Cricetulus griseus: one gene and its partners. The protein of the gene in region 3 interacts with the protein of the main gene of each other region in a pairwise test. Links are inferred from orthologs where the notes say so. Each region holds a gene or a part of one and is shown on either strand. Other genes may lie near its edges.

Region 1 (6,120 bases), about 60 Mb from region 3:
TACTGTCCCAAGACACACCTCAGCAAACACAAAGTGGTTATATATGCTCCGAGTAAAAACATAACAGAACAGCATTCACTGGCAAGGTGGCTGGGGGTAAAGACACTTCTCATATAAGCCTAGTGGCCTGAGTCCAATGCCTGGAACCCCAGTGATGGTGGAAGGAGAGAACCAAATCCACCAGGTTGTCTTCTAGTTTTCCCCATGTGCATGCTTGCACACACACACACACACACACACACACACACACACACACACACACACACTTAAAAAACACTATTTTTTTCGAGTCAGGGTTACTCTGTGTAGCTCCGACTGTCCTGGATCTTGGTTTGTGGACCAGGCTGGCCTCGAACTTACAGAGATCCACCTGTCTCTGCCTCCTGAGTGCTGGGATTAAAGGCATGCACCACCACCACCTGGCTTCCTTGGAGGTTTAAAATTTAAACTAAATTTTAGAATTAGTTTCTGAATGCTCATACAAAGAACTGAGGCAGAAGTATTTTAGGAGAAATCAGACCAAAAGCCAAGGACCTGCCTTTTTGTCAACTCTCTGTTTCCTGTCTTCTGGATCCCCTCATGAGAAACCTGAGAACTTGGGCAGGTAGGGCACACCTTGAGTTGAATTTGGTCACAGCACAGAGCTCATATTCCTAAGGAGCAACTTAAATTTTAATTGCATCCCTGTCCCCTCTTTTCTACACCCTCAAGCTCCACTGCCACCAAGAGATTTGTCTGAACCAAATGCCAAAGGGCCACACAATCTCTGACCCCTCATTCAGCTCCCAAGTCTGTTGGCACGGGTAGGTCTTTGGTGAGATGCTCCAAAGAGTCACATCAGCCATAACACTTAACTCAAGCATCTGCTGTAGAAATTCCCACACAAGGAATAGTGTCCATCTATGTCTGTGGTCCCCAGTAGGCTTCAGGGGACCATGTCTTTGTCCTGTGTGACCCAAGTGCCTGAATCACAGTGAATCACACTTAGAAACTGACTGTTGTATGGATGAACACCAACCGTGATGCTAGAGATTGGAAAGACGCTGCAGTGGGTAAAGTGCTTGCCACCCAAGCACAAGGACCTGAGTTCAGATCCCCAGTACTCATATAAAAGTGGGCTCAGCAACTTGTGTCTGTGAGCTTTGCACTGGGCAGACTGATAGGCAGATCCTGGGGCTTGCTGGCCAGTCAACCTATCCAAAACAGCAATCTTCAGGTTAAAAAGTAAGATTGCTAGCAATAGAAGAAAGACATCTGTGTTGACCTACTGCCTCCAAGGGTGCATGAACAGGGGAGTACATCCATGTATATAGCTCTTGAGCATGTGCATATTGCAGAGAGTGTGCTCCTGTGCGTGTGCACAGGCACACATGCACACACACTTTATCAGGAGAGGGAATTCTTTGTGTCTGCACTGCCTATTAGACTGGCAATACATTTCTGTATGTGAGATGGGTCTTCATCTAAAAATGCAGCTCACTCTTGGCAGCCACACACTCCTGTACATGGGTAACAAAACTTCAAGACAGTGAAAATAAACAAATGGCTCTAAGAGCCCCATGGTTCTGTTTGGGAGGCAGCTTGGAATCAGCAACAGCAATGAACTCCAAGTTCTTCTTTCGGATCTCTGCTGAAATTAGGGCCCATACGTGTCAGTCTCGTAATTAGACAAGGTTGCCTGGTGTCTGCCAGAAACACAAAGAGGTCCCTGCCCGAAAGAGCACAGAGCAGATGGGGTTGCTGAGCGCAGCTTGTGCGTGAGCACGCTGCCTGGGGAGAGGAAGGCAGAGAATCAGGAGCTGTGCTGCCTGCTACATGCGTTGCTGCAGGAGAGAAGTTGATGCCACAGAAGCAGCAACTAGGCTGCTAGCTCCCTGCACTGTGACCCAGATGTCAGGACCCATGCAGAATAAGGATCTTCATGGGTCTTGCACCGTGGGGCCAGAAGTACATCTGTAATGGACAGGTACAGCAGCTAGGATATGGCTGCCCTGCTCTGCCAGCTGGAGGTGGTCACCACCAATATGCACTTTGGCATACCCACAGGCGCTCCCCGCGGCTGGGATGTCAGGGACCGGCACCCCTTCTCTTCTGCTCATGGCATCTCTTACCTGGCCAGGCTAATCGTGAGTAACTCTGAGTCCTTTACTCAATCTTGCCCCAGCATAGGAAAAAGCTCAGCAGGGAACTTAGCCCCCAAAAGGTGACAGAAAAGGGTCTATTGAAATCAGGATTCTTCCACATCAGGCAGTGCTGTGAGACCCAAGGGCACATAGAGAGACTCAGAGAATCCAATGAAATGAGAACTCCAAGCACACATCCCACAGAAACCACCTGGAAACATCAAAGGAAGCTTCAGGCTCATGGTTTCCAATGTAACTCTCAAGTAGACTGGGAATCAATACAGATGTTGAGAAATTCAACATCTGTATGTATATATGTAGGGTAAACAAATATAGAAGATCCTTCACAAAATCAATCTTTTTGCATGTGTATGTGTGTAGTGTGTGTGTGTGTGTGTGTGTGTGTGTGTGTGTGTGTGTGTGTGTATGTGTGTGTGTGTGTGTGTGTGCTCCCGTGTGTAGGCACACATGTGGGTGGCTGCCTGTGTATGTATGTGCTCTTGCATGTGAGGCTCAGAAGTTGGTGTGGGTATCTTCCTTATTGATCACTGAGCAGGGCTTTCACTGATCAATTTGACTAGCTTAGTTATCTGGCTTGTTCCGGGGAATCTCTTGGCTCAGCTTCCCACATGCTGAGTTTATAGGTAGGCTGCCACACCAACTGTGCATTCCTCTGGGTGCTGAGGTTTGAAACTCTGGTCTTTATCCTTGAAGGGCAAGTGCTTTACCACTGTGGCATCTCCCTTCCACAGTCATATATTTCATGAACTTTCTAGTGTTTTTTCTTTTTCTAGCACAGTAAAGGTATTGTGTGATGAAGTTTTGTTTTAGTTATATTAGCTTACTTATTAATTCATAAGCATTTGCTTACCTGTGTATCTTATTGTGGCTAATGGTATATTTCATGGTATTAAAAAATGTAAACTCAAACTTTGATTGAGATCATAGAAGCTTAAAAAAACAAGCAGTATTCTAGAACCTCAATGAGACAGAGAAGTGTGGGGATGTGACCCTGTACCCTGGAGTGTGCCAGACTTCTCTTTGGCCACAGAGGCCATTTCCCTGTTGTCCAAGACAAGGACTTCTGGCCCAGTTGGCCATGAGCTCTCCTTTCTTTTTCTGTCCTTATGTTTGCCTAACTGGGTGAGTAGATCCTTGAGCTACAGCAAGGGTCTGAGGTCAGTAGCTGGTCCAGTCTCACATGTCTGCCCTTCCTCTTTTCTCCTCATCCTCCAAGGGTGGCACACAAGAGCAGGAATGGTCACAGCAGTTGCTGAAGGAGGTTGGGAGGCTGCCATATTTGCTGCACAGGTGATATCTGGGCAGCATGTTTTTCCCACCACTGAAATAATCATCAAAAGCAGATAATAAAGTATGTCTGCATATGAGAGAAAGAGAGAGAGACAGAGAGAGAGAGGAGGCAGGCCATATGAGCTGTCAGCCTCTCTCTGTGCAAATGATAGTTCAAAGAACACTTAGAACACTTACTCATCTCATATGCCATCTTACAAAGTCAACCTTAACACATGCCAACAAATAAAAACCACATGCCCAGATACATCCCCATTGCTACAAAACAATTAAGCTGTAATTTTCTAATAAAAATCAAGAAACTAAAAGATACAAAATTGAAAATTAGTTGACAATAACCACAACTCTCTTGTTGAGAATGGAGTGTAAGCTGAAGGTTAAAGCTTCAATTACTGACCTTCTAAGAAATGACCTAAGTGGGCTGGGACTGTGACTCAACAACACCTGCCTAGGTTGTGTGAGCCCATCTACAAAAATGAAAAACAAAGTAGCTAACCAGTTAGGTAACAACAATAATACACTTGACATTCAAGATTCCTAGACTGTGGATGAAGGAGTCAGAGGAGACTTTTTAGCTTTAAGTAATAGTGACAAAATGGCAGACATGGTGACAGTAGTCAACTGACAGACTATATTTCAGAAACTGGAGTACTTACTATGTTTCCCTATTTGGCTTTATTCCAACACTTTTGGTTTTTTTACTTTAATATATGTTCGAAACATTTAAAAAATTCTTTAAGTAATATTTATTAGTTCTTTGAGACTGTCATACATATCATTTTTGTTGAAAGTGTATTTTATCTAAATTACGTTTAATTAAAAATATAGAAACATTTTATGGTATCAACACAGCATATTTCTTTCTTTTTTTTTTACAAATGCTGGTGCTACTATTAATTATTATTTTTTATTTTTATAATTGTAATTAGACCAATTTTAAATTAGAAACAAGCTTTTTTACATGTCAATCCCAGTTCCCTCTCCCTCCCCTCCTCCCCTACCCCCCACCCCCATCTCAACCTCTTTCTGCTCCCCAGGGAGAGTGAGGCCTTCTATGGGGATCTTCAAAGTCTATCATATCATTTGGAGCAGGGCCTAGACCCTCCCCCATGTGTCTAGGCTGAGAGAGTATCCCTCTATGTGAAGTGGGCTCCCAAGTCCATTCATATACTAGGAATAAATACTGATCCACTACCAGAGGCCCCATAGATTGCCCAGACCTCCTAACTGACATCCTTGTTCAGTCTGGATCAGTCCTGTGCTGGTTTCCCAGCTCTCAGTCTGGAGTCCATGAGCTCCCCCTTGTTCAGGTCAGCTGTTTCTGTGGATTTCTGGAGCCTGGTCTTGACTCCTTTGCTCATCACTCCTCCCTCTCTGCAACTGGATTCCAGAGTTCAGCTCAGTGTTTAGCTGTGGGTTTCCGCTGCTGCTTCCATCAGCTACTGGATGAAGGCTCTAGGATGGTATATAAGGTACTCTTCAATATCATTATTGGAGAAGGGCATTTAAGGTAGCCTCTCCACTATTGTTAGATAGTTAGTTGGGGTCAAAATTGTAGATCTCTGGACATTTCCCTAGTGCCAGAATTCTCTTTAAACCTATAATGACTCCCTCTATTATAGTATCTCTTTTCTTTCTCTCCTCTGTTCTTCCCTGACTAAATCTTCCTGCTCTCTCATGTCCTCCTCTCCCCTCCTCTTCTCCCCTTCTCTTTCTTCTAGCGCCCTTTCCCCTCCTCCATGCTCCCAATTAGCTCAAGAGCTCTTGTTCCTTTCCCCTTCTCAGGGGGAGCACATATGTCTCTCTTAGGGTCCTCCTTGTTTCCTAGCTTCTCTGGCAGTGTGGATTGTAGGCTGGTACTCCTTTGTTCTATGTCTAAAATCCATATATGAGTGAGTAATACCATCTTTGTTCTTTCTTTCTTTCTTTCTTTCTTTCTTTCTTTCTTCCTTTCTTTCTTTTGAGACATAACCTCTCTGTGTAGCTCTGGCTGGCCTGGAGCATGCTATATAGACCAGGCTAGCCTCAAGTTCACAGAGATACACCTGCCTCTGCCTCCTGAGTGCTTAGATTAAATGTGTGTTTCGCTATGCCCATTTCTCTCTTTCTTATTAATTCAGACAGCCAAGTGAGGTGGACCATTCTTATCCAGGATTTCATTTATCCTATTTTGAGTGTGTGTGTGTGTGTGTGTGTGTGTGTGTGTGTGTGTGTGTGTGCATAAAATTTACCAAGCAGTTTAAGTCCCTGTGTGAATTATTTCCCTCAGATCTTCCAGTGGCTAGCATAGCTATCTCCAGTTCATGTGGGTCTAAGCCACACAAGACATGCCATGTTTAACAGTGCAGAGGTAACTGGCAGACCCACCATTGGATAATGTGAACTCAGAGTCAAGCCTTTGGTCACTCAAATCATTCTGCAGTGACATTTCTGCTTGGAGCCTAGAAGTTGGAATGTCATAAGCACCGTGTCTTAACTAGCCCCTCCAGAGTATCAGTGCATAAATATGCTTGCTGGAGTTTTCCTAGATTTTCTTAAAATCAATTGCCTGTTTTACTTGTACCTCCTTATACTTCTTGCTCAAGGGGAATCCCTGCTCCACTTGGCCCTGTGCCCTCCAACTTCAGCTCCACCTGTGCCTTGGAGATTTAGAACCACCTACCAGGATGTCAAGAACTTAGCACCT
Region 2 (5,976 bases), on a different chromosome or scaffold from region 3:
CCAGACACAAGGTCTACTTAGATCTCCCTGAGGATGGTCAGGTTTGGGACTGGGGGTAGGGGTGGAGGGGACCACAACTTCTATATGTGGAGAACAAAACAAAGTCTGAAGAGTGACCTCACATTTGAAAAGTGGCTGCTCTGAACAAAACTTCCTTTTTCTATAGACAGAGAACACCCAAACTCACACATAAATTACTCTGATAATTTCACGTCTAGAAGCATGGTCAGAATAAAACCTGTGCAGAATTGCTTGCAAGGTTTCTTAGGTGATCACTGACTTTCTCCTACTTAAGAACGCGTTCATTCTCTGTGTGGCCTTTTCTCTCTTCAAGCCTAGGGCTGACATTAAACCTAACAGTAAACAGCAATTACCAACACCATCAGCATCATCGTAGGGGTGAGGTTGATGGAAAACAGGACCCCTGTCCTGGGATGATGCTCACATTTGCACGTGTCTCTCTGGGGAGTGACCTGAAGGTTCACACAAGCAACTACACAGTCCGTTGGAAAGTATACAATCCACTCAGCCATCTGTCCACTGCCCCTCCCACCTGCCAGTCCCTCCCCACCCCCCAGACATGCAATAGGGGGCGGTGGCAAGAGGAGGTTTTCCCACTCCTAACAAGCAAGCCCCTTATGAAAGAGAGAAATGTGACGCGGGAGGTCAGCATACTTTGTAAGAACTGTGCGATCCGTCCTTCTGTCCCGTCCCTCCGTCCCTCTGAGGCCTACGCTGGAGCGAGCAAGCTCCTGGGTCTCTAAGAGCAGACAGAAGGCCTGCAGCTCAGGCTCGGCCCTCATGCCGGCCACGTCTGCTAGCGTCATCTTTCTCATCTGCCTTCCACCCTCAAACTCCAGCAGCAGAGTTGCTCCGGATCCTGAGGGACTACCAAGAGCAAAGCTGACTGACTGGGAAGGAGAAAGGGGAAGAGATCCAGAGAAGAGGGAGGGCAGAGAAGAGAGCAGACACCCGGACTTTCCCAGAGAGCTGGGTTCCTAGGGCTCCCCCGCCCCCCTGGGGTCGAATTACAGAAGCTCCCATAGCCACGCTATTGGCCCGTAGGAGTCAGGGCAGAGGGCTCTGAGACCCTCCGGATGAGGACAGTAGCTTCTTTTCTTTCTCTGGTCCCCATCACACCCACCCTGATTCCTCCCAGACAATCCTTTGCGCACGTCCCCCTACATTCCGAGGCGGGTGAGGCAGTGACGCAGCCTTGCCCTAGGCGCCTGGGTTCCAGGCTCAAGTCTCTGCAGGGACTGGGTGGTGGCGGCCATCCCGAGCTGAGGGGATGATGTGTGCTGGATTCCTACCCTTCCCACCCTGTTTGCTCCCGGCTCCGCCAGGGTCCTTGAGACCATGCAGAGAGCTCTGGCCTACCGAGGCCCGCCTCAAGAGAGCCGAGAGGCCTCGTCCCCTCTCACCTCTTGTCAGTTCAGCTTTCTAGGCTGGGTGGGGAAAGGGCCGCGGAGGGTCGCCTCCCATCCCCCACATCCTGGAGGCGGAGGCGAGCAGAGTCGGGCGCGCGCAGAAGTCAATCTCTACTCCCCTTGGCCCCAGTGCTCCAAGTCAGCTCTGGCAGCGGCCGGAGCAGCCGCCGCGGCCCGGGCAGCCTGGGGGGGCGACCGCGCGTCACCTAGACTGAGGAGCGCCGGGGATTTAAATGCCACTGAAACGGTGATCCATCACCGCCGCAGCCGGTAAACTTTCGCAGGCGGCTCAGCCATTGGTTGACAAAGTCACGTGTCCTTCCCCTTGAGTCCTCCGCCTTCCCGCCCCGCCTCTTGCGCACTGTACATTCATATCATTTTTCTTCTCTGGTCCCATGGAGGAAGTGAGAAAGTTGGCACGGTCACCCAGGGCTTCGCAGGACCCAGTCACTCAGTGACAGATGGACAATGCAAGAATGAGCTCCTTCCTGGAATATCCCATCCTTGGCAGTGGCGACTCCGGGACCTGCTCTGCGCGAGCCTACACCTCTGACCATGGGATTACAACTTTCCAATCCTGCGCGGTCAGTGCCAACAGCTGCGGCGGCGACGACCGCTTCCTAGTGGGCAGGGGGGTGCAGATCAGCTCGCCCCACCACCACCACCATCACCACCCCCAGCCGTCTACTTACCAGACTTCTGGGAGTCTGGGGGTTTCCTACTCCCACTCGAGTTGTGGTCCAAGCTATGGCGCGCAGAACTTCAGTGCGCCTTATGGCCCCTATGGATTAAATCAGGAAGCAGACGTAAGTGGTGGGTACTCCCCGTGCGCTCCCGCTGTTTACTCTGGAAACCTCTCATCTCCCATGGTCCAGCATCACCACCACCACCACCACCAGGGTTATGCTGGGGGCACGGTGGGCTCGCCTCAGTATATCCACCACTCTTATGGACAAGAGCACCAGAGCCTGGCCCTGGCCACGTATAATAACTCCTTATCCCCTCTCCACGCCAGCCACCAAGAAGCCTGTCGCTCCCCTGCTTCAGAGACGCCTTCTCCAGCGCAGACCTTTGACTGGATGAAAGTCAAAAGAAACCCTCCCAAAACAGGTGAGTCCTGCCGGCTGGCAAACAAATGTTGCTTGATTTTGAAAGGGGCCGGTGCGCTTAGTTTCCTAGGAAAGTTAATGATTTTAAAAGATGGGTTCTTGCTTCTGTCTAGTGTCTTCTGGAGTTATAGTGTGTGGTGTAGGATGCCCAGGTGTGTTGGGGCAAAGCAGTTTCTGGACCTGGCATTTTCAAAGGGGCTGATGCTTCAGTGGTCTAGAAGTAGGAAGCGTGTGTGTGTGTGTGTGTGTGTGTGTGTGTGTGTGTGTGTGTGTGTGTGTGTGTGGTGTGGTGTGGGTGGGAGGTGTCGGTGGTGGTGGAGTTTTGTTAATATCTACAGGCTCCATTAATCAGAAGCCTGACCACGCTAATGGTTGACTTCAGGTTAACACTTTACATACACATCGTTTGTCACTAGAGCTTCCCAGCTGGGTTTGTGCTGAGCAGTTAACCGAATGTTGCCCCGAACATTGGGCAATCGGATAAGGGTTAAAGAATTTTTACCTTTTCCTCTCTTCCTCCGTTACCCCAGGGAAAGTTGGAGAGTATGGCTATGTGGGTCAACCCAACGCAGTGCGCACCAACTTCACCACCAAGCAGCTCACGGAGCTGGAGAAGGAGTTCCACTTCAACAAGTACCTGACACGAGCGCGCAGGGTGGAGATAGCCGCGTCCCTGCAGCTCAACGAGACCCAGGTGAAGATCTGGTTCCAGAATCGCCGCATGAAGCAGAAGAAGCGTGAGAAGGAGGGGCTCCTGCCCATTTCTCCAGCCACTCCTCCTGGAAGCGACGAGAAAGCTGAAGAATCTTCTGAGAAATCCAGCTCCTCGCCCTGCGTTCCTTCTCCAGCATCATCTACCTCAGACACCCTGCCTACCTCCCATTGAGGCCACTCCAGCCCAGCTCCGTAGTCCAGGCTTCTCCCTGGGCTAGGGTTTCTTACCCAAAGCACATCTCTAGCTTATCTTTCTTCCTTTACAGTCTCTCTTTTTCTTTCTGGTCCAATCCAGAGAGCTCCTGGGCAACATAATGTAGTTCCATAGAATTCTGGAGACTTGGTTGTAAATTAAATCCTTAATCCACATCGGGTGCCCATATCAATTTCTGGTGGCCCCCAAAATTCCTTCCTCACTGTTGTGAGAGTTTTTTTTACACAACCCATGGTTCCTTTCAGATGTCCCTTGGAGGACAGTACCCTTTGCCAGCAGGCATTTGAAGAAGGGAGGCATCTCACCTTTTATCTGTATATTGTTCTTCTCTACCTGGCTCTTAAGTAGGACACACAAAAAAGAGAGTATCCAAAGGCTCATGAAGAAGAGATTGACTGAGTGTGTTTACACAATTAATTCACCCCTTAACTTTCTCTTGAGAGATTTATCTTTATACAGATTTTCTAGAAACATGCAGAACTATATCAAACAGGGTGGGCAAACTTCCAAAACTGGTGATTATGGGTGGACAAAAAAGGGGGGACCCTGGCATTCAAACAGAACCAGATTCCTCAAAAGGTAGCCTCAATTTGCTCTTGCAGAGTCAAGAAGGCCTGAGAAGCCCAAAGTTCAGAACCTTTGCTGTGCCAAGACTTCCCAAATTACCGATTTCTTCTTGCTTCTCTGGCCACCCTCCACTTAAAAAGTGTGCTGGATTATTTGTAACCTAAAGGTACTCTTTTCAGTCACCCTTTCTTTCCACAGTTATCTTGGCTGGATACAATGTATTTTCAGCTAATTGTTAATGTGATGGCACAATGAATGTATATTTTGTGTGATTCGTGAATAGTCTTCTGCATGTCGCACAATGTTTTGATGTCCCTGAAGTACCACACTGAGTTCTATCAGTTATCTTTTGTGAGCCTACGATAGTCCCCCTTTCCTGTACAATCATGAACAGCTCTGAGATCCCAGAGGGATGTGATCCAGAGCAGAGTTTACGGGTCTTAAGACGTCTGTAATAAAAAATATTCAAGTTTTGGGTATGCTTAAGCATCTGTGTATTTGGCTGGGCTACAGTTTGTGTCTTACTACAAAGTAAGGGGAAGGATATATGGGGAAGGACAGAAGGGTGGTATTTATTTTCAAAGAAGTGGGCCCTCCATTGTCATGTAGCTTGCAGCATTCCTTATAAGTATAGCCTCATCCAACCAATGTCTAGCTAATGCACTGATCTCTTTATCATAACAACCACTCCTTTATTATAACCAAAGTTCAAAATGGAAAAACTAGTGAAGCAATGTATGAAGGAGATCTATTTTTGAAACAAACATGGATACTTCCCGGGTCAAGTGCTAACCTTTTCACCTCCAACTGAATGTTGACACATATATAAACAGAGCCCCTTCAAAAGCTGAAAACTGTCTTCAGTCAGTCTTTCCTCACATTAGAGAACCAACGGCAGAGAGATTCACATTTAATCAGCTTCAGTATAAAAGTATCTTTTAAGTTGAGTATGGTCTGCCTCCCACCCCCTGTTCTTTCTATCAATATCCATTCTTTCAACCACTCCCTTACATCTCTGCATTGCAATCTTATCCCTTCAAATTCAACTTTCATGTCATTGCCATCATGACTGCAAAGGCTCTCCATTTCTAATTCCATGCCACATAGGCTGGGCAGAAGTTGATAGTCTCTAGATTCAGATTCTTCCAGTTGACCTTATGAAAACCAGCTCACATCTTTGTGTATCCAAGTTGTTTCTGATAGAGGCATGTGTCAGATCTCAGAGGGAGTCAACAAATGATGACATTCAACAGAGCTGTTCTAGACCTCTTGCCAATTTCCTTTTATTTTTTAACATATTTCAGGGTTTAAGCAACATTTTCTAACTCTTTTCCTGGTGGTGCTGGGGATGGGACTCAGAGCCTTGTACGTTCTAGGCAAGTGTTGGACCTTCCTCAGTTTTCACACACATTTGGAGGCTTTGAGCCCTCAGAGCAGAGTAGAAAATCTACAGCATCACAGATACAGACATGTGACTTCCTTTTCAAAGGGTGTTTTGAAAAGATGGGCTGAGGAGAAAAACCTACAAACCTTCGGAATTTGCAGGCCTTCTAGAACACTTGTGAGATTTCCTGCACAACCCTGTTAAATGGACTTTGTGGGAGCAGTTGCTGCATGCATATCAAGGGCTCTGGGCACCCTCCCTCAGCTGCTGGTTCTGAGGTCGCCTGAAAAGATTCAAGTGGATGGAGAGAACTTCAAAGACACCACCCTTTTCTTTCATTTCCCCGCCTGGCTATACTGTATCTTTTGTTTATTAGTGTAAGGCCACAAAGCAAAACAGATGGCTGGTTTTCAAATACTTTAATGTGTTAAAGTGCCATTTGCATACCACTGTCCTGATTTCAATATCTGAAAGCAGGGTCTGACCTGCAGGAATCCTAGAGATTCCTATCTTCAAGGTGCTGGTTTTAATGTAGCTAAGAGGGAAGAGAACGATAAA
Region 3 (6,047 bases):
CTAAGGAGAAGAAAGGGGATGGGATGGGGTTTGGTGAGGGGCTGGAGGGAGGGGAGGGTGAGGGAACTGGAATTGATATGTAAATGAAGCTTATTTCTAATTTAAATTAAAAAAAGGAAAAGAAATAAAGAGACCAGGTTGGTCTCAAACTCACAGAGATCTGCTTGCCTCTCCTCTCCAAGTGCTGGATTTAAAGGCATGTGCCACCCTGCCAGGCTTTTTTTCTCTTATTTTTCTTTTTTCTTCTCTGTCTCCACTAGCGGGGCTTTGAGATTGGCCTGACTGGGCAATGGGGAATGAAGAAATAACAGACATGCATAGGGGGTTATGGTGGGCCGTGTGTTCTGAGGGAGACACACTAGCAGCCTGGAAACTCAACCAGTTTATTACTTGAGCTGAAGAAGGAGAGTTTGCTAATCTCTTTAGGGGGTCTCTTCGGGAAGCAGTTTCATGCTTCAGTCATCTGAAATTAAAAAATGCACACCCTGTTGGTGTTGCACTCACTCATGGAAGGCCTTCCCATTCGTCTGAGCCTGACCTGGAAAAGGTCCTGCCATACCCACAGGTCTGGGGGGTTGGGGTCCTTGACATGGCTATGTTAATATCAATAATACACATTCACTCAAGACTTCACTCACTCCCCATGCCTTTCTTGTCTCTCTGTGCTTTGTTCTACGTGGTGTGTGTGTGTGTGTGTGTGTGTGTGTGTGTGTACTGGGATTGAACCTTGGAGTCCTCGTCATCCTAAACAACATGGTACCACTGAGATACACCCCTACTCCTCTACTGCTTTAAAAACAAAACAAAACAAAAAACAGGGCTGTAGAAATGGCTGCAGTATTCCTCTTTCAGATGACCTGAATTTGGTTCTCAGCACCCACATCAGGCAGCTCAGAGCTGTCAGTAACTCCAGATCCAGGGAACACCTCTGGCCCCTGGGCACCTGCACTCAGGTATGTATACCAGTACATAGATGCACACATAATTAAACACATCATTAAAATATTTTTCTTTAGAAAAAAAACAAAGGCAATGGAAGCCGGGGAGGTAGCTCACTACAAAACATGAAGGCCTGAGTTCAGATTCTCAGCACCAGCACAAAAGCCAATTGTGGTGGTGATGCCTGTGTGAAACCCCAGTGCAGGAGGTCCTGGGAGGTGGAGACGGGCAGAAATAGTGAACTCTAGATTCAGTGACACAATATCCTACACTGGTACGTAGGCACACAGGGATATACTACATATAGACAAGTCCTTGAAATGAGGCAAATACATTTTTTAAATCATGGCAGAGCTGGGCATGGTGACACACGCGTTTCATCCCAGCACCTGGGAGGCAAGAGGCAGGTGGATCTACATAGTGAGTTCCAGGACAGCCAGAACTACTTGTGAGAACCTGTCTCGAAAAGATAAAACAAAGAAAGAAAGACTGGAAAGAGGTTGGGTAAGGGAAAGGAAGGTCAGGCTATTGCCGTAACCAGCAAGGGCCAGGCAAGGGAACCCTGGACACGCAGTCCTTTCCCGTCTAGTCCCGCCCTGAGACGTGGGCAACGCGAAGTCCCGCCCATTCGCCCCTTCCTGGGAGCCGGAGGCACACCGGCTCCTCCCTCAAGGCATGATCTTTGCTGGGGACCAAGACGGAAACTGGGTGGGGGACCTGAAGGGAAAGAGGGTCGGAAAAGGGCTGGCAGTGGGCCCTAGTGTCCTCTGCGCCCAAGTTCAAGTTTGCCAGTTTCTCGGGGGTTCCATTCATTTCGGGCCAAGACGACAGCTGCCCTCACCCCCACATTAGCGTAGCTTTGTGCAGGCAGGCTCCGGGGAAGCAGTGCCCTGAGTAGAGCGACCACCTGGAGGCCGCGGAGCTCATGGCCGGAGGGAGAGGGACAATTAACTTTATGTCCGGAAACCTTGGATGAATGTTTGAGACCATCTAACTGATGATGTGGGGAGCACAGGATAAAATTCTGCAAGTAGTAGGATTTGGAGGTTTGAGAAAATAAGTGGCGAGTAGGTTCTGAGAGGCGCAGATTCAGGGTCTGGGTGTTTAGCTACAGCTGAGGTGCGAGTGCACACTCAGGGATTCTAGAGGACCAGGTTGGATAGGGTCTAGGTGGCTAGGACAACATTTTGAATGAGGGCCCGGGGTCCCCAGGTGAATTTGGGGGCCAAACATCAAGGTCAGTGGCCCCGGGACCCAAGCGTTAGGGAACTCTGGCTGGGCGCCCGCAGGCGCCTCCAGGCGGCGCCGCGGGGGACCGGGTGGGGGCCTGTGGCCGGCCCGGGGTGGAGAAGCCGGGGGGTCGGGGTCCCTCCCCCTGGCGCGGGCTCAGGAATCCGCCGAAGGGCGGGCGGAGGCGCCGGGGTGGGCCGCGGCGGGCGGGCGGGCGGGCGGGCGGGCGGGCGGGGGCGCTTCCTGGGGCCGCGCGTCCAGCGAGCTGCGCGGTCCGGTCCGTCCGTCCGCCCGCAGGCACTGCCGGAGTCAACGAGTGAGTGGCCGCCAGCGGAGGGAGGGCGCGGGCCGTGTCGCGGCCGGGTCCGCGCTACGCCAAGCCGAGAGGCCTGCGCTCCACGACTCGCGGGGCGGGGGCGGGGCGGTCCGGGATTGCGGGCCTGCGAGCCCCAGGCCTGCGAAAGGACTCGGCCCCCAACTCTGGAAGGCTCCGGTGCTCCCAGCACAGTTCTGAGACAGCCGGGAATCCAGTGTCCCCTTCCTGATACAGGGAATGGGGGGTGTCGTGGCAGAGGCCCCTGACCCCTGCCCACTACCTCCCAGCCCCAGGATGCTCCCTTTTGCCTCCTGCCTTCCCGGGTCTTTACTGCTCTGGGCGCTCCTGCTGTTGCTCTTGGGAGCAGCGTCTCCACAGGATTCGGAAGAGCCGGACAGCTACACGGTGGGGACCAGCTTGGGATGGGATGGGATGGGATGGGATGGGATGGGATGGGATGGGATGGGAAGGACCAGGATCTTGGGGTGCCTGGGGAAGACTCTCCTCTGCTTGGTTGGTGGAAGACTGGGAGTCATTGTGTGAATTGACCCGAGCATAACTGAGCTCAGGCCCTGGCCTTGTTCTGGCTAGTTGGAGGAGACTTCCAGAGTGGTCACTGGCCACTTGGGGTCCCCTTCCAGGAATGTACAGATGGCTATGAGTGGGACGCAGACAGCCAGCACTGCCGGGGTGAGTATGCCTGGGATACTAGCCATTTTCAGGAACTGGGAAGGCAACTATTGTTTCCCAGGGATAACCTGGCTCCTAGACCAGCTGCAGGAACCTAATGGCCTTTTCACTGTCCAGCTTGGCTGAGCCAAAGCCAGCCACTCAATTAGGAGTCCTACCCCTTCAAGAAGTGCAATGAACTCTGCCTCTATTTGCAGTAGACAGGAGAGCACCTGGTGACTGCCCAGAGAAACGGAGATCTGCACACCTTCCGCCAACTGCCCTCTACTCTCCTAGCCCAGCTCTTTATCCCAGTGCAACCTGGGAGAGCAGTACACACTCTGTGGGTTTGGAGGCCTGCAAATTACTCTGGGGCAGAGGTAGAGGCAGGGTTTTGAGGAGGAATGGAAACTCACTTGGAGGCAGGAGAATAGGGACAACGGCGAAAATAGGTGGCCCTATCCCCAGTCCTGCAAATCACTGGGAGGGGTTCTGGGTCATCAGCCTTAATTTGCTGAGCAGAGAGAAAACCTTGCTCTGTTGCTCAGCTTAGAGAAGGCCAAGCTGGGATTCTGCCTCCCACTACCTCCAGGGCCAGCCCAGGTGACTGGCTGTGCCCAGCAGGCCCCTTTCTGCAGATGTCAACGAGTGCCTGACCATCCCCGAGGCCTGCAAGGGCGAAATGAAATGCATCAACCACTATGGGGGCTATTTGTGTCTGCCTCGATCTGCGGCTGTCATTAATGATCTACATGGCGAAGGCCCTCCACCACCAGTGCCCCCTGCTCAACACCCCAATCCTTGCCCACCAGGCTATGAACCTGATGAACAGGAGAGCTGTGTGGGTAAGTGGGAGCCATGCTGGCTGGCACCAATGCTTCCAGACCTCTTACATGTCTTTTTAAAATTAATTTTGTATTTAGTGTATAAAGTAAAAAGAAAAGTAAAAACCAAAAGAAAACAAAGGGGGGCGCTGGAGAGATGGCTTAGAGGTAAAGAGCACTGGCTGCTCTTCCAGAGGACCTGGGTTCAATTCCCAGCAACCACATGGTGGCTCACAACTGTCTGTAATTCTAATTCAGGGGACCTGGTACCCATGGCAAAACACCAATGCACATAAAATAAAAAAGTAAATTTAAAAATAAATAAAAGAAGCAAAGTGAAAGTTTTTAAAATCATGGTATCATTCTCCTGACACACTTCATATTTGTTCTCTCTCATTGTCCCTCCCTAGCACCTTGTTCTTCGAGATAGGATTTCTCTGTGTAGCCCTGGCTGTCCTGGAACTCACTCTGTAGTCCAGGTTGGCCTAGAACTTAGAGATCTGCCTGCCTCTGACTCCCTAGTGCTGAGTGCTGGGACTAAAGGTGTGTGCCACCACTGCAGGACTGTGTACTTTGTTTTTTGAGACAGAGTCTCTGGGTTTGATCCCCAGCACACACTTGTAATCCCACCACCAGGGAGGTAGAGAAAAGAAGATTGGAAGTTAAAGGTTACCTCAGTTGCATAAGGAGTTTGAGGCCACCCTGAGCTACATGAGAGCCTATCTCAAAAGCAGTAACTAACATAAATAAAGTAATTTTCCACACTAAATACCGCAGACCTCATGTTCCTTCCTTGCTGAGAGAAGCCTCTGGCTCCTCAGAGAAACATCTGAACCCTCACCTGCAGCAGGCCTGGTGCATGGTCTGCTGGCCCAGGAAGTCCCCAGCAGCTCCCTCACTTCCTGTGCAGACATGCTAGAGCTCTGCTCCCAGCCTCTTGCCAGCTCTTTATCAGGTCTCGGCCTTGGAAACCGCTGGCTTTGGAGGAGGGAAGATCCTGGTCTAGAGTCAGCTGAGGGTGTGAATGGACAACGCCTCATTTATTTTTAAGCCAGTTCTAGCTGGCTTGGAACTCTATAGCTCTGGCTGGCTTGGAACTCAGAGGGATCCTCCTGCTTCTGCCTCCTGGGTGTTAGAATTAAAAGTGTGTGCCACCAGACCTGACAAGGCCTTGTTTTATATGCTCAGCTAATGGGTGCTTTTCCTGGTGGACTGTTTTCTTGTGCTGTTGGGAGGACCTATATCCTATCTTCATATTTTGGTGCCAGCTACCCATGTGCCCATGTGAATGAAGTCTGGTGTGAGCCACCTCCTTCCAAGTTGATGTGCTGACATGGTCAGTAACATGTGGGACTCTGGGTAAGGGCTGCATGGTGTCTCCCACAGATGTGGACGAGTGCGCCCAGGCTTTGCATGACTGTCGCCCTAGCCAAGACTGTCATAACCTGCCTGGTTCCTACCAATGCACCTGCCCTGATGGTTACCGAAAAGTTGGGCCCGAATGCGTGGGTGAGTTCAGAGAGTGGCTTTCCTAGTTCTTGCTTTGTGACTTTGGTCTGACCTTATCCTTATCCTAGTCCTCTGCTGCTGGTACCCTCCTGTCATTAGACACAGAAGACTATATGTCGGTGGCTCAACTCAGGTCCCTGAAAAAGACAGGAGTAAGCATGCGTGCTGAGGCCTTTGTCTCGGCCTGCTCAGGCCCCACCTGACTTGTGTCCTGCTTACCCCTCCCCTGCCTCCATTGCAGACATAGACGAGTGTCGCTACCGATATTGCCAGCATCGATGTGTGAACCTGCCAGGCTCTTTTCGCTGCCAGTGTGAGCCAGGATTCCAGCTGGGTCCTAACAACCGTTCTTGTGTGGGTGAGACTCTGGGGTCCTAGGTAGAGATGTATGGGATAGGGGCAGGATCTCCTCACTAAGCCCATGTAGAGTGGGACTCTGGGCAGTGCCTCTGCTTTCACCACTCCTGTTTTCTCTGGCATCCTCAGATGTGAATGAGTGTGACATGGGAGCCCCATGTGAGCAACGCTGCTTCAACTCCTATGGGACCTTCTTGTGTCGT

What was found.
Region 1: the proteins of Efemp2 (region 3) and Il16 interact in binary tests that used the Homo sapiens proteins (3 or more experiments, as listed by UniProt). The two-hybrid records come from large-scale screens. The link is inferred for Cricetulus griseus from reciprocal best matches to the Homo sapiens genes EFEMP2 and IL16.
Region 2: the proteins of Efemp2 (region 3) and Hoxa1 interact in a two-hybrid assay, tested with the Homo sapiens proteins (2 studies listed by BioGRID and IntAct). The link is inferred for Cricetulus griseus from reciprocal best matches to the Homo sapiens genes EFEMP2 and HOXA1.

The regions. Positions count from the first base shown.
Region 1 is NC_048596.1:113,939,140-113,945,259, forward strand, and holds the start of Il16 (pro-interleukin-16), read left to right. Parts: upstream 1-1,921; coding exon 1,922-2,126; intron 2,127-6,120. UniProt on the Homo sapiens protein: Interleukin-16 stimulates a migratory response in CD4+ lymphocytes, monocytes, and eosinophils. Primes CD4+ T-cells for IL-2 and IL-15 responsiveness. Also induces T-lymphocyte expression of interleukin 2 receptor. Ligand for CD4.
Region 2 is NC_048601.1:89,186,209-89,192,184, forward strand, and holds Hoxa1 (homeobox protein Hox-A1), read left to right. Parts: upstream 1-1,777; 5' UTR 1,778-1,891; coding exon 1,892-2,540; intron 2,541-3,069; coding exon 3,070-3,425; 3' UTR 3,426-4,525; downstream 4,526-5,976. UniProt on the Homo sapiens protein: Sequence-specific transcription factor. Regulates multiple developmental processes including brainstem, inner and outer ear, abducens nerve and cardiovascular development and morphogenesis as well as cognition and behavior.
Region 3 is NC_048596.1:53,863,332-53,869,378, reverse strand, and holds the start of Efemp2 (EGF-containing fibulin-like extracellular matrix protein 2 precursor), read left to right. Parts: upstream 1-2,489; 5' UTR 2,490-2,779; coding exon 2,780-2,890; intron 2,891-3,126; coding exon 3,127-3,175; intron 3,176-3,792; coding exon 3,793-3,999; intron 4,000-5,364; coding exon 5,365-5,487; intron 5,488-5,728; coding exon 5,729-5,845; intron 5,846-5,973; coding exon 5,974-6,047. UniProt on the Homo sapiens protein: Plays a crucial role in elastic fiber formation in tissue, and in the formation of ultrastructural connections between elastic laminae and smooth muscle cells in the aorta, therefore participates in terminal differentiation and maturation of smooth muscle cell (SMC) and in the mechanical properties and wall integrity maintenance of the aorta.